Neodiprion lecontei: one gene and its partners. The protein of the gene in region 1 interacts with the protein of each later gene in a pairwise test. Links are inferred from orthologs where the notes say so. Each region holds a gene or a part of one and is shown on either strand. Other genes may lie near its edges. The genes, in order: transcriptional activator cubitus interruptus-like, CREB-binding protein and importin subunit alpha-3.

Region 1 (5,253 bases):
ATACCTTTATACCTGCGCTAATCTACATAACAAAACAAAGATCCGCGCAAGGTCTCTCTTTCCCGACAAAGAGTGAACGGAGGAACGAAGACGACGATGACGACGATGATGATGATGATGATGATGATGATGATGATGATAATGATGATGATGATGGGAACACGCGAGGTTTTAGATTGCCAAAAATATACATCGGCCTCTTTATTCTTTTCCGGCACTGATACCGCGCCCGATTCATCGAGAGTCCGTCCGTGTGCGTTGTTTGTATTTTATAATATCAAACTACTATATATATACCCCGATATCAACTCGGAACGCCGTTAGTTGTATAATCGCGTTATATCTTTTTGCAACTCGATGCCGCGGCTCGCGGTAATCTCCAACTATGAAGATCGGGGGACTCGAATCGTGTTTAGTCTGTGTACTCTCGGGTGCCGCGTGTTACGAACAGCAGAGCCTAACGAACGATTCCGTCAAACGTTACTATATAGGTAGGTAATGATAAGTGCAGTGATAGTCTAATGTTACTGCGCGGTGGAAGAAGAAGGAAAACAATGTTGGGAGATATACGCGGCAATTAGCTTAACTCCATTTGAAACCTTGACAAACTTTCAACGCGTACAATATTTCTTTTTCATTCTCCGTCATATTGCACCCCATCATATCTGTCAGAGAAATCAGTCTTGTATGTTCTATATATAATAACCGAAGATTCATTATCGCGTTGATTCTCTCTTCGACGTGATAAGCACTTTTCTGTCTCACCGATTTCTTGGTTTCGCTTGTTCTACATTTAGCAGTTTTGGTCGACGTGTTTGGGCAATGTGTTAGTAAGGAATCGGATTCTGTGCACGAAGTTAACGTTTCTATAATATCTATCAAGTTTTATTGCAAACTCAAATCCTTACTGTATCACCAAGCTTGAGTAATCGGTTCGTGATGGATCATTGAAACCTGACGCGCATGAAGTGGTAAACGATTCGTACCACTCAATCTCAACCATTCATTGACGATTACTGGAACCCGGTATCCGTGACAATTTGAGTCTTTGCTCAAGCTTGATCGGTCAAAACTTCCGGAATACGTATCGTGGTCTGTCTAAAAACGTTCCGTGCAGATATAAGCGAAGGTTAGGTATGCATAAATCTGGCGAAGAGTGCAAACAATCGGCGGTTCTCAAACATTATCCGCGGACTGCGATTGAAGAAGGATCGAAAACTGGGACTTACGGATGGTGCGGAGGCGGTGCGTGAAACGCGGCTGCTGCTGCGGCCGCCGCTGCGGCGTGGTGCTCCCATGCGGCGGCTGCGGCTGCGGCTGCGGCAGCTGCGGCGGGGTGATGAGCCGTCGGTCCATGATGGGGGTGAAAGGGCGGCGGTGGATGTCCGTGGGGGTGAAACGCGGCGTGAAAAGCCGAGTGGTGATGGTGGTGGTGGGGCGGGGGCGGTGGCGGTGGCAAAAGGGAGAAGGTCTCTTGATGGTAGGCGACTTCCTTCTCGGGCATCTTGGCCGCCTCGAGTTCAACCTCCAGCTCTATCTCCCGGGTTGTCAACGCCCTGTTCCTGGCTGCCCGGAAGTTCGCCCCGTAACCGATGTGCTCGAGGAAGTCGGCGTCGCTCGGACACCGACGTCGGTCTTCCAGCCGTAGGTGGAACCCGCGATCCGAGTCGAGGGGGCCGCCTAAATATCCCGGGTTCGTCGCGGCGACGATTTCTGCAGGTCCTTTATTGTACTCGACGTCAGTTTCACCCTGATCCGCATGGCCGTCGCTTATCGTCCGGGTTCTTCGTCGGTGGTTGCGGTTTAGTTCTCGCGTATCCCGGCCCAGGATATCGACGGTTGCTGGTCGCCGATGGGCCCCGACGGTCCCTAACCCTGATTCGGGTCCTCGTTCTTCGCTGACATTCTTACCGATCCGATCCCCTGAGCTGGACTCTTTACCCGAACTAATCCTGATTGCGAGTCAACTTTTTTACCGCACTAGTGTTTTTTTTCTTCCCCTCTCTCTCGCTTTCTCTCTCTCTTTCTCGATTGCAACGCAGAATTTCACACACGGGGTGACGTTCGCATACGGCTTAATTTAAACCACGCGGTTACATTATTTGCATTTTTCATTTACTTTCCTCCAGTATATTTCTCGACGAATCGTAAAAAATCCACTCAAACTTCACACCCCCCAGTTACAGATGAATTCTTTTTATTTCGATCACTTTTTGCGGCTAAGTATTAATCACTGTGTTATCGGTTTGGTTGCCGCACATCCTTCACGTCAATCCTTCTTCATCTTGCACGTTTTGTGTTGTTTTTCTCATACGTTGAGATAAACTCGACCGACAGCAAGTTTTATCTCTTTATTTTAAACACGCCGCGGTTTAAACGAGACACTCGAAGTGACAGCGACAGTCCGAATTCGCACACTTGCGGAAAAGCCGAAAAAGAAAAGAAATCCAAATTGCCGTTGGAATATGATAAGGAGCGAAGGGACTCGTGGTCGAATTCGATGGAAATACTGGGTCTTGAGTACGGTGCGATGCGATATCGTGGGTGTAGAGAAACAACGTGTTTGTAGTTCCACGTGATGTCGCGCTCCTTACGCTTTGACGGGTATGGCGGTACTGAGTCCTCGGCGATGCGAAGAGAGGGGCGGCCAGGCATTCCCGGCACTCGTTCTCGGCGGCGGCACCGCCTGCCTGGTGGTGCTGTGCGAGTGAGAAGATGAGAGAAAACTGAAAATAAGAGCGAGGGAGAGAGGAATAGCCAGGGGTAGCGCGACGAGGAGAGCAGAGTTGTCCGAGAGTGGTGGCGCGTAGGAGGGAGGAGAGGAGTCGAGAGGAGAGGAGAGGAGAGAAGAGCGAAGAGAGGAGAGAGGAGAGGAGAGGGCTGAAAGCGCGTGTCAGCTCGACAACTCAACTAGCACCAGCCTCGCGCTGCAACAGCCCAACCGCTCCTCCCCGCCGTCCTTCTCCAGCGGGACAAAGACGGAAGAAGAGAACTCTTCTTCTTCTTACTCTTCTTCTTCCTCTTCTTCTTCTTCGCGTGACGAGGTGGACGAGGTGGGGTGTCGTCGTTCCCTCTTCTATAGCGGGGGAGGAAGAGGAGGAAAGAGAGGAGAAACGAAGATAACCGAGGTGGTGTCGTTGCGTTTGTGAAAGTGATCTGCACAGCCTTCGTTATACAACCTGCGTGCGCAATTGCGGTGAGTTTGTAAGATAGGTGAGTCTTGAATGAAAACGTGGGGCGGGAGCTGGAAAATGATATCGTCGATATTGAGTCGGACGAATTTCACTTTTCACTCCAGGAATTTGTCTCTACGTTCCCCAACTTTGGGGTGTTGCGTTACACGGCGAGAAGTGCAGTAATAATGATAATGGTAAAAAGTCAAGAAATTTAGCGGATGTGCCGTCAGCTCTCAATTGGGGTGATCGGGAAACTCGAGGGACCTACAAGATAGAGGAATGAGAGAACTAGTCCCGAGTTCGCTCCTTTCCGCGCCGACGCGCTCAAGTATAGGTATTTATTGCCACATGCCACCGGAGCCGAAGTCCCAATTCGGTGTTGAGTTGAAACAACTTCCGGTGATCCCTGGTGATGTCTCCACGTTATTTCGCCTATTATTTTTTTTCTCTCCTCCAATTTTCCTTTCTCGTGTATAGGTTACAGCCGCAGAGACACGGGCGAGTTGTCATCCTGCTTATACGGCAGGACGCTTTCTGTTTTCACAAGAGTTGAATTTCGCAGTCCCTTCCGCCCCTCGACGTGAACCCTCTTTCCCTAATCTATCGAGGGTAGAGGTAAGGAGGACTATCTCCAGTGTGCGGAAAGTGTTCCGTAAAGTAGAGAGAAATTAGGATGGCGTTGCTGCAGCGAAAGCTCCACAAAGCTCCAATCGGATTGATTCCCTTATTCCTCACGAGCACCGTTCCGGTGTCTCGTTGAAACCCTACTTCCTGCTTATCGGCGAACACTTTCTCATTCGAATATCCATATGAGATACTTCTCCTTACCTTTAACTCTCCACATCCTGATCCGAACCATCGAAACGTATCATACCTAACCGGTGATAGGATACATCGTACGGAAACGGAGCACCGCCGTACGTATCAACGGAATAGAGTCATTAGATCCTGAAATCGAGGGTGCAGAACTCTTCTCGGCGCCGCTGCTCACCGTTACCCACGCAACCACCTACCGCATCGTAATGATTCAATCGAATCCGCGGACGGGCGGGTGACGCGGCCGCCTCCACCTGCAGCGCTCGGTTTCTCTCTCTCTCTCTCTCTCTCTCTCTCTCTCTCTCTCTCTTTCTCTTTCTCTCTCTCTGTCTCTCTCCATCCTTCTCCTATCCCGTCCTCTCTTTTACCCCCCTTCTGCACAGACCGCCGATGTACGAGGTGTGAGTATATAGGTGCTCACGGGGCTCTTCATGCGGCGTACCCACCAAGTCGCAGCCGCAGGTAACCGCGATCTGGCGGGGCGGAGGCGCGGTTGAAGGGGGGAGGGCCGCCAATCCGGCCCCTCGACGGCCGCCCTTTCGCCGCGTTTCCCCCCCATGACTCTCTCTCTCCATGCCAAGATGGAGCAAAAAGCGGTATCCGACGCGGTTTATGCTATGAGCTCTGTATAGGTATTAGAGGTACGAGTTTGTATCGTGGATCGGTTTGTATGGACTCGTTGTATTAATGTATAGGTAACTAACTACGTATGCATGTGGCGCAGGTGCCTCTTCTTCGGGGTGAACATATAAGCGACTATGGGCGTATATTGTATCCTTTATACTTACACACGTCTTCGTGCCAGGCTTACTGTATGTTCTCGTGTTACACAGTGCGATGTAACGCGTCTACCGCATGTAATTCGGTGTTTGCAAAAACGTCCCTCAGGCTTATATTGCGGCCGTGTTCTTGTAACGTAGGTGTGCCGCAACCCGTTGAAGGTGCAACGCTGCAGGTAAATCGAATCACACTCGTTTTCCGCACGCGGTATAAACCTCTTTGTACAGCTACCGTGCAGTGTAGACTGTCTTTGTATTTGTCGACGAGGAATTCTGATCATCTTTTGATTCGAAAGGTAATTATCTCAATTAAGGGATTCGGGTGAGGTTATCTGATTAACAGCTTAGGTACACGTTCGGTTGCATTAATGACCGTTCAATGATGAAATACTGTTTTCGTTTGCACGGGAACTTCATATTTACGTGCGATTACTGATCTGTCTAAGTTTATAAATATATCAGTCGATGATATTTTACGTAAT
Region 2 (5,253 bases), on another chromosome or scaffold:
TAACCTTTAATCAACACACAGATATTATGTTGGGCCCGCCGCTTATCAAATCTGTTTCGTTCACTTTCAGGGCACACAGCATGTTCGACTACCCAGTTTTCGTTGCTCGATTCTTCTTGCAAATGGGACCATAAATCTAACATTCAAGGAAACAAAAATATTATTTCCAAAACTTGTACTTTTCCCTCCTCCACCTTATGGTAGAATTACTTTGAATGTAAATGCACCTTCAGACTCTAGCGGGCTTAAAACAACAAATTGATAAATCTAATAAATAAGCCCACTCTATGTCTTTCACATACCAACTCAAATTTTCTCAATAGAAATGAATGAAAATAGTAAGAAATGAGCATTAATAATCGCGGTTCTGCCGAATCTTTCACAGAACTTTAGAGACCAGTTTGAGAACATGAATACGAGTAATCAATCATCGGAAATTGGTCGGAAATTAAGACATTTAGTGCGTACCCCATGAACAAAACTCCTCACATTTAGATCCTGAACAGCTAATACTGAGTTTAAAAGTAATTCTGACTGTTACGGGTGTTTATTCAGGGTTGTTACAAATTTTCACTTCCAAAATTCCCTAATTTTTCAAGATTCCAACGGCTGAAATGTCCTTTTAATAGAGAATGTTGAGAGAAAAATGTATCCTGTTACTATATTTTACTTAATAGACATCAAATCATTAACAATGAAAAGCTTGATTCCTAACGAAACATATTGAGTGAAGGTAAAAATCTAGTACCTCAAACTGCACTTCAAAGTTTTAGTAAAATCCAAAATTACCCGTAATTGATAATATAAGGTAAATTCTCATACCAAACGTTATCCAATAAAAATATCTAGTAAATAACCTAAGTGTTCCAATAATCAAAAATTAGCCTGGGTGTTATGATAGGTGTCCAGGTTTGTAACAACCCTATGAATTCATCAGGCTGTTTCAGTTATTCAAATTATCCTGGTTAAAAAAAAAGATGTGTTTCAATTGTTCTGATTTAGATGCAGTTCCGTCTTATGCGAATCATGAACATATTTTATTTAAAACAATAGTCGCAAAAGAGAACGATATGTAAAATGAAGACCCATGCTCCTTTTTAAGTCAACAATATAGTTTGAAATAAAGTTCTTACCACCAGCAGCGTTTGGATGCCTGTTTTTATCCGCCTGCTTTAGAGGTAAGCAGACAGGACAGTCGCTTCGTTCACAGTGTTTCCAATGGCTTATTATTTGCCTAGACGAGCTGCAATGTGGTACAGAACAAGTCTTCCCAGCTGCGCATGTCGTCATGTGATTCAGAACATTCTTCATAGTTTTACAATGTGGCAATGTGCACTGACACACTTCTCCATTAGCCTGACTCTCTCGCCTCTGGCATTTGTGCGCGTGTAATAGCAAGACCAGTTGTTGCTGAATCAATTTTCTCTTTTCAGGATCAGCTGTCGACGGAGGAGCACCTGCGAAAAGTTCAGCAAATTGTTCATTTTTTTTCAACTCTATAGTTTCATTTGAATGATGTCAAGGGGCTGTCGAACTGTCAAGTTTTACAACAAATTCAATCAGCATTTTGCACGATTTTTCTTCTGTGAAGCAACAAAAGTGTTTCAAACATTGGAAAATTACAGGGTTCACGATTGCATTTGTGTGATAAGTTAGAACAGTATGGATAATAAATAGTAAATGTAAAAATATGGAGATTCCGATATTAGTAGCGTGCGATAACCTAAAAGTAAATAACAATTAGCTGAAAGTATATTTGTGGTGTTTTCGTCAACTTTCCAAATCTTTTCCAATGACCACACGAGCAAATTTATAAACACTATCATTTCCCAAAGTGTGAAATGATTTCATTACCCAGAAGAGAAAGAAATGTGTAAAGTTCGATTTGCTCAGTGAATATTCACAATATTAACTTAATAATAAAAATTTTTTTTACATTTACAATCCAATCACTGATATTGACATTAAGAATTTATATTTAAACGCTAACAGGAAGTAATCGGTATACAATTTAAGAAACAAAATGTCACCAGTGAAGAGTTTCATTCCAGTTTCTGAAAATTGAGGAAAACTGAATTTTTGGACTCTGATTATTAAAACAAACCTCGTTGGGGACCGCTGCCAGGCATTTGGCCCTGTGTTGCTTGTTGAGGACCGGGTTGCCCTCCACTTGGTGCACCTGACTGTGGCTGCGCCGGACTTGGTGCTGGTGGTTGTGCTTGTTGAGCCATCCCACCTTCCTGGCCGCCAACAATATTTCCTGGTCCAATAGGTCCAGCCGGACCACCAAATCTGGCAACTTGCATGGCGTTCATATTTGCCCCTGCCGGTCTTTGTTGAGGAGCAACAACAGCAACTGGGTTATTGGTCCCGACACTTGGAGCTGGTGCACCACCTGGAGACCCTGATGAACATTTTACTTGTAAATCAGAAAAGAAAAATGAATTTATATGCACGTTTGAAACAAATTTGTGGTAAATTATTATTTTTTTTAAATCAAACTGTTGCATTGGCTGGCTGAATTCACCAAATTTTCCAGCTTCAATAACCCTCAAAACTATAACAAGTACATTTAGACAAACACAAAATGACTCGATATAATTAACTTTGAAATTTTTTTTCCTACAAGCGAAAAGTCAGCAGAACAAATTTGACCATTTCTGTCATCATCGATAATGAAAAAATCTTCAAAGCTTTGAGGAAGTAAGTTATCTTTCAAAGTATTTGTGTATTCCATATTAAAGATCAGCAGAGATGCTGAGTTATCTATGAGTCAGTATACAATTCTTATTTATATATTGCAAGTACATGAAGAACAAGATCTATGAATTTTACTTACCATAACCATACGGACTCGAAGCACCCATTTGTCCCATATTCGACATATTTGCCATGTTTGGTGGAGCTGGCATTCTAGGTCCAACCATTCCTCCTTGGTGCACTTGTTGGTGAGGACTCTGGCCCCTTGCTGAGCCTACCATATGAGCTTGCTGCTGTTGCTGCTGCTGTTGTTGCTGCTGCTGCTGCTGTTGTTGCTGTTGTTGTTGTTGTTGCTGCTGCTGCTGTTGTTGTTGTTGCTGTTGTTGTTGTTGTTGTTGTTGTTGTTGTTGTTGTTGTTGTTGTTGTTGTTGTTGCTGCTGCTGCTGCTGCTGCTGCTGTTGCGCCTGCTGCTGTTGCTGCTGTGCTTGTTGCTGCTGTTGTTGCTGCTGCACTTGTTGCTGTTGCTGTTGTTGTTGTTGTTGTTGTTGCTGCTGCATAACAACAGCCCTAGCAGTCATCATTCCAGCTGGACCATTTGGCATTTGGCCTACACCATGAGGTCCAGCAGAGTGATGTATGCCTTGAGCATTTGAGCCAATCATTGTTACCTAAAAAAGGTTGACATTATTAAGAAGCATGCTAATCGGCACTTTATTTTCACAATCATGAAATGACGAAACTCTGATCCGTCAAATGTAAAAACAGAAAATATTATATTTCAATGCCGAATGTGTTTGGTACTGCAATTAGGATAAAAGAATATAGAATCCCCATTGACTAGATTTGTATGACAGCAAGAAAGAAGAAAGGAGCCACATGAAGGGGTGCGTTCAAGTTATAAGACTTTAACTGGTTTATAGTCCTCGGAATTTTTTTCTGTAATAGTTGGAGAATGGACTGCTTTGACACAATCATAGAGCGCATGTTATCGACAAACGTATTTTATTATACCTAATCGATATATCCACTTGCAAACTAATCTGTGGACATGCGTATCTTTATCAATCATAGTACATGTAGACGTACAGCATAGATACAGATTGTTTGGAAAGTTGGTCACATGTGATAAATTTTAATGAAATGAAATCATTGGAATAGAAATAGTTAATAAATTAATTGTGTCCTTTAATAGAAATGTTGAATCTTGTACTAGTCATAAAAATATTTGATTTTTTGAAGATTCGCACAATCGTTGCAAGAATGAGCTGTCTAACACGGCGACAGTAGTCTGTAAAGACAGTTACCCTGACTGAGTTTTATGTGTCATATGAAATTGCGTGTTGGCGGTCCTGGGGTATGGGAGTTGACTGTAGTTACCAGGTGGTTTAAAACTGCTTCTTATAGTGTGTAGTCGAGAATTGCAGGAAATTTCTACATTATATCTCCGGGCACACTCAGGCCCACCAGCCGTCACAAAATTCTCCCAGGGGTAACCGTCTTTACCACTCTTCCGTCCCGTTTGATGAAAATAAATATATATAACTTTTTTCTATGATTTTTATATCGTATTTCTGTACTTTATGACGGTTCCCAAAAGCGTAACGTTATCAGCAGTATATTTGAAAGCTCAGTAGTCCAGAAACAAAGCTTATATATTGCTATAAACCAGGCCCAGAAATGAAATTCTGGTAGGACAAAAATATTTTCGTATCAACAAGCTAGATAGTTGATGTACAATTAAGTTCACCCGTACCAGAATCATCCGTTAAATATGTTCGTTAGTATTAGGGTAGAATATACACAATATGTAAACAGGTAGTATGGGTAAAGAAATAAGTCGCAAAAGAGCTTACGGTATTTAAGGGTTGCTTATTCAGACTGTTTGCCACGATCAAACCTCCTCCTGCCATTCCACCCATATTATTGTTCCCACTGGCACTGCTCGTCATGACAAGTCCGGAATTCATTCCACCCGGAATCGACATTGTAGCATTACTTCCAGTCATGCTCATCGACGACTGAAGCCCTCCCATTGAATTGGCAATTGACATTTGATTGTTGGTTAGCGAGCTGGCTATACTGCTGGGTAAATTACCAAGACTGACAACCATCTGAGAGTCAACGACACCTTTGGAAACCGAAACATTGGGCGGAGACTGCATGTTGGGGCTTTTACTACCCAACGTTCCTGCTGCCATTGCCAGTGAATTTGCAACTAAATTCTTGTTGCCCTGTTGGAAAGTGTATTAAGCTTGTATTAGGAAAGATAAACAAGAATTCAAGTTCACTGTTCAGGTAAGAATAAAACCATATTGATTCATGATAGTTTATTTGATTTTATATTACTTTTGGTTTGTTCTGCTCTTTATCTCCAAGTAAAAGTGACTACGACTACCAAATCATTCATTCAGAGTTAGATCCAAGCTAAGCTATGTGAAAAACTTCGAACAATGGATCGAAGACTTGGGTGTAATACTAAAAGAATTTGGTGAATTTAAAGAAATTATTTGCTGGAAATTGACGTTAACCTGTTGTTGCATCAAATGATGCGAT
Region 3 (5,253 bases), on another chromosome or scaffold:
TTTCAAAGATCGTCTTGAAAGCTCTATCGGACTTTCTATTGAATGGTTATTATTTTTATTATTGGGGTGATTCGCATATATTATTAAATTGAGTTCATTTCATATGAACATCATCATTTTCGTCATCTTCACAATATAAAAAGTTGATCTGAAATTATAAAAATATAAAAATCCATGATTCGATACAGAGCAAATCTACTGTGCAGTAGTAGAGGTTAAAATAAAGTAAATTGCATTGTAAATACAAACTCACCATAAACAAACACATAATTGAGAACGATAACTATCAATAATTCTGAAATAATTTGAATATTTTGTAAGACATTATGAGTAAGGATGTTATATAAATAGATTTAAATAAATTTGTCTTAGTTATAGACATACGAAAATAATTATGTATCGTTTAATCCTAAATTCTATAGAATGTTTATCAAGGTACAAAATAATGAACAACAAAAAATACCACAAATGCTTACACAACAAAAAATTGATAATGTATTCACCACTATCCACAATGTGACCACAATACTGCATAATATAAACACATTGTATAAATTAAAATGCGGCAAGAGTTTTGTACTAATAAAAACTGGAAACACAATGAAACATTTTAAAGTATTAGTACATTTATTTGAAAAAATATAACGATCAATTTACAGTGTTTAATTTCCTAGTACAAAGTTAATCTCCAAATGATGGATTTACAGCTAAGATTTTATTTATTTCATCGACAAGAAATCTTGCTTCATTTTCACTAAAAATTAGAGAGTGTATGCACTTTTCTTCAACATCTCTAATCATATCATCTAACACCAGCCTAATTTGTTTCAGATCGTAAAAGCAATGATTTCTTCCCAAATACCAAGTGTGAAAACTAATCACAGGAGTATCCTTCATGATCAGAGCCATACGTTTCTTCGATAGGAATGAGAGGAACTTGTAGAATTGTACATAGTCCATGCCATGTGAAGCTTTCAACATTAATTGACAGTGATCATCCCAACCATCCATATCACGACAGTCTTCAACTTCTCTCATCACAGCACAAAGTTCTTTTTTTAAGGAAATCCATACATTCCAAACATTGCAAGCATTGATCCAATTATGATTGATAGAAATAGTGTCTTCCTAAAAAAATGCATTTATTTAATCAGCATTTAGTTATAACCTGGTGCTTACAGTACTGAAAATTAGTACCAAATTCCAAACTTGATGATGCCACCCAGATGGAATGAATACTATTTCACCAGGTTGTTGAATAATTTCATAACGTTTGAGTCTATCTTCATCATAATTTGGATACATTGTTTGATTCAACAACTCATTGGAAGTTGTTATGTCATAGATTAATTTCCCATGCTTATCTCGCAGACTCTCTTCGTCCCCAGGTGCAAAGAGAAGCCAGCGTTTTTTTCCAACTATATTAGCTGACCAGCTATAGGATGAGAAGACATCTGCATGAAATGGTGTCCTAAAAGTACACGAAAGCAATAAGAATTCTATCAACAAATAGAATTGCTCATTTTAACATAATTGTAGCTATACCATGTTCCTTTTGGACCCATGTAGATAAACATATAATCGTCATTTAATTCTTCCTGTTCTGTGTAATATTCGTTTAACCAATCAGAGGCAAAATACTGGGGAACATTATAGATTGGGATATGTGGATTATTTTTTACGCAATGCCAGTCCTTTAGATATAGTAAAGGCATATTTTTTGGATCACTAAGGTCACGATATGTGATCCAATAGTCGACATAATCAGCCAATGCCATATCATCCTTCAGTTGGGAATTGTAGTATTTTGCTGTACAGTCAGCCACAGGTGCAATACAAGATCCTACGAGAAAATTTTGCTTACTTCACAAGTATGTTTGTAATTGGGAAATGAATTCATTACGATATTCTATTCCATGATTTTTTCTTCATTCAAAATGGATCAATTTCGAAACAGTCTAAACTCTAGTTTCATGTTTAGTGGTGAATATTATTGAGTGCGTAGCTCTCACCGAATACTCTTTTGATGTATTCGAAATTTGGCGCGTTGTCTGCTTGCCACATTTGTCTGCACGGCCATGCATCCGTGGCAGATTGGATCACGCAGGGAATATTGTTCTGTAAATATCTTCTAAAATATTCATTGTACGATAAAGAGTGATTGACATATCCAGTGACGTTATTTTCGACTGATGTTCCGAATTCGTGGTATGCGTAATCGTTAGAAATATCTATAACTTTGGTCATTCCGCGTTTACTGTAAATTTATTTTAGGTTAGGTTCTCTCTTTTCGGATGAATCGGATGAAACTACTTTATATCGATCTAGAGTGGAACCACGATAGTAAAATCCGTAGAATCGAAATGCAAGAGTACGCAAGCGCCTCTAATAGGTTCATGGTTAAAGCGTTTTGATGTTCGTCAACTTCGAGGTGGTCAGCCTGTGTGGTAACTTTGTATAATTTCGGAACACCGTCTTCTTGATTCTTCTCGTTTTTCCCAGAGGTGAAAAAGCTGTATTTGTTGAGAGAAACGTGACTTTATTCGCGTGAATAGCCGAAACGAAATCTGTTATGCATGGTAGTGCATATTCGAGTATTTTAATTAATCACGCTACGGAATGCAGTAGTTAAAATAGATTGTGAAATAGGTTTGTTAACGAGGAAATTTCTGAACATAGTGTCTCTGTGAAACCGGCACATCGCATCTACGCTAGGACGAACATTGGTTATCGCAAAAATGGCGTCTGATCCACTAAATAAGAACCGAATGCAAGTTTTCAAGAACAAAGGAAAAGATCAAGACGTAAGTATCCGTATTACGAGTAGATAATCTTCTCTTAGTATAGCGTTGTATTTATTTTACTAAAAATTCTCTGTCCCTGCCACACGATTTTAATACATTGATACCACGGACTCTTCAAACCTTCAGTCATGTTTGGTATTTTAACCATTTAATCAGTGACTCACCTATATACACCTCACAATTGGATCATTTTTAAGAAATTTTCAAGGAATCATTTTCACGTTCTGTTCCGTCGATACGATGGCACGCGAAAATTCGGATATGAAATTTTTTTCATTTCGAATAAGCATGCCTTGGGCAGTAACGGAAAAAAAAAATTGTGAAAAAAATATGAATACCATATCCGTACTGAGGTATTGTTTCTTCTTAATAAGAAGTTATTTCAGGAGATGCGCAGGAGAAGGAATGAAGTCACCGTAGAGCTCCGGAAGAATAAACGTGAAGAAACGCTACAGAAACGGAGAAACGTACCAATTACAGATTCCACGGGTAAGGTGACGTCTGATAGAATGTTATTAGTTTGGGCTACTTGTATCAGTTTCGTGAATACCTTACTTATTGTTGAATCGTAATTGGGAGGTATAAGCAATATTGGAGGGATTTATTCCTCATGTAGTTGCAAATCTAGTATTTTTAGGTAGACAAACTCTAGTTCTCAATCATAGAATAATATATAATAAAGATATAATAAATAGAAAAATTAATCTAGTCATCTCATTTTATAATCTACGACGAATATTTGGTATACTTGATGAATCAATTGCTCTGTAACATGACGTTCTTTCTCATTTTATTATAAAGTTCATGCGTTACAAGAGCATTATGTCTAGATATTCAATTGAATAATAAATTGGTTAATTAGATGAAGAAGATGTGGAGAAAAATTTGGCAAAGATCGATTTGGGTGAACTGGTAGCCAAAGCAGGGAGCGCTGAATCCGCCGAGCAGTTGATTGCCGTCCAATCTGCACGAAAATTACTGTCTTCAGATCGTAATCCTCCAATAGACGCCTTGATTGATAGCGGAATCCTGCCAATTTTGGTACACTGTCTTGAACGACATGACCAGTAAGTTGAAATACCGATGTCTTTAAATCAACGTTGTGAATACATATTTTATGCATACAACATGAGTGCATATTCACACGGTTACTTTAAAACACATCAATAAAAAACCAATTAGGAGTAATAGTATTCCTTTTTTGTTATATTTCATCAATGAATATTTCTCTATTATTTTATAACATGAGAAGCAGTATGATACATACAGCATTATTCTTGCAACACCTGCTCAGAAAGCTGGATTTTCAGATTGTAGAGCGTGGGTAAAATATTTTTTCTGAACAATGCAAATAAAAAGTGGGTGTACATGCACATTTGAAAGCTTCTACTTTTCATGCTATGGATTTTTGGCGCATACACATTTACAAATAAATCAATTTTATGCACTATCTGTGACTGCTTCATTGAGCGCAAGTTACCTAGCCGAAATGTCAGTGTCACTTTCGTTACTTTTTAAATCAAACTTTCCCTGCAGGTATTACAAAAAATATGACATGTGACACGTGTCGACAAGCAATACCTGACTCGTGTGATTGCAGTACTTGCCCTTGTGCTGCTAGCCACACTCGTTTGGTTATTGCCTATTTACGCACTTGTCAAATAATGTACTATTATTTTTCAGTCCATCCTTGCAGTTTGAAGCAGCATGGGCATTGACGAACATTGCAAGCGGAACATCTGCTCAGACACAGGCAGTTGTTAAAGCTGGTGCAGTGCCATTATTTTTACATCTTTTATTGTCCAGCCAGCAAAATGTCTGTGAACAAGCAGTATGGGCTCTAGGTAAGGAATCTAACCATGCTGTGGTTTACGTAATTTTTATAAATTGTTTTATCGAATTTATTATTTGTCCCTAGGAAATATTATAGGGGATGGGCCAGCGCTGCGAGATTATGTAATAAACCTTGGCGTTGTGCCACCGCTTTTAACTTTCATTAAGCCAGATATACCTATCACCTTCTTGCGGAACGTTACGTGGGTGATAGTCAACTTGTGTAGAAACAAAGATCCCCCTCCACCAGTAGGGACAATTAAAGACATTTTACCAGCACTTAATGTACTTATTCTACACACGGACATTAATGTGAGTAGATCGTCATGTCCAGTATCACGTTATTCTTCCCTAACGAATCTCAGGTTGTGCAGTTTCAACTTTTGATAATCTATCAAAGACTGGATCAACATTTGGCTTTTGTTTTTCCCATAGATTCTCGTTGACACAGTGTGGGCTCTGAGTTATTTGACTGATGGTGGAAATGAACAGATTCAAATGGTCATAGACAGCGGAGTCGTACCTCGTCTAATTCCTCTGCTCTCTCACAAAGAGGTCAAAGTTCAAACGGCTGCTCTCAGAGCTGTTGGCAATATCGTTACTGGTACCGATGAGC

The links.
Region 2: the proteins of transcriptional activator cubitus interruptus-like (region 1) and CREB-binding protein interact in a two-hybrid assay, tested with the Drosophila melanogaster proteins (3 studies listed by BioGRID). The link is inferred for Neodiprion lecontei from reciprocal best matches to the Drosophila melanogaster genes ci and nej.
Region 3: the proteins of transcriptional activator cubitus interruptus-like (region 1) and importin subunit alpha-3 interact in a two-hybrid assay, tested with the Drosophila melanogaster proteins (2 studies listed by BioGRID). The link is inferred for Neodiprion lecontei from reciprocal best matches to the Drosophila melanogaster genes ci and Kap-alpha3.

The regions. Positions count from the first base shown.
Region 1 is NC_060260.1:7,976,385-7,981,637, reverse strand, and holds the start of transcriptional activator cubitus interruptus-like, read right to left. Parts: upstream 2,602-5,253; 5' UTR 1,505-2,601; coding exon 1,230-1,504; intron 1-1,229. UniProt on the Drosophila melanogaster protein: Has a dual function as a transcriptional activator and a repressor of the hedgehog (Hh) pathway. The full-length ci form (ciFL), acts as an activator (ciA) while ciR, its C-terminally truncated form, acts as a repressor. Involved in segment polarity.
Region 2 is NC_060265.1:8,992,855-8,998,107, reverse strand, and holds the start of CREB-binding protein, read right to left. Parts: upstream 3,108-5,253; 5' UTR 2,982-3,107; coding exon 2,840-2,981; intron 2,420-2,839; coding exon 2,105-2,419; intron 1,458-2,104; coding exon 1,134-1,457; intron 1-1,133.
Region 3 is NC_060261.1:35,296,428-35,301,680, reverse strand, and holds the start of importin subunit alpha-3, read left to right. Parts: upstream 1-2,511; 5' UTR 2,512-2,738; coding exon 2,739-2,804; intron 2,805-3,178; coding exon 3,179-3,293; intron 3,294-3,666; coding exon 3,667-3,871; intron 3,872-4,487; coding exon 4,488-4,648; intron 4,649-4,722; coding exon 4,723-4,949; intron 4,950-5,072; coding exon 5,073-5,253. Other genes in the region: 2-oxoglutarate and iron-dependent oxygenase JMJD4, read right to left, coding at 682-1,128, 1,198-1,471, 1,546-1,843, 2,013-2,247.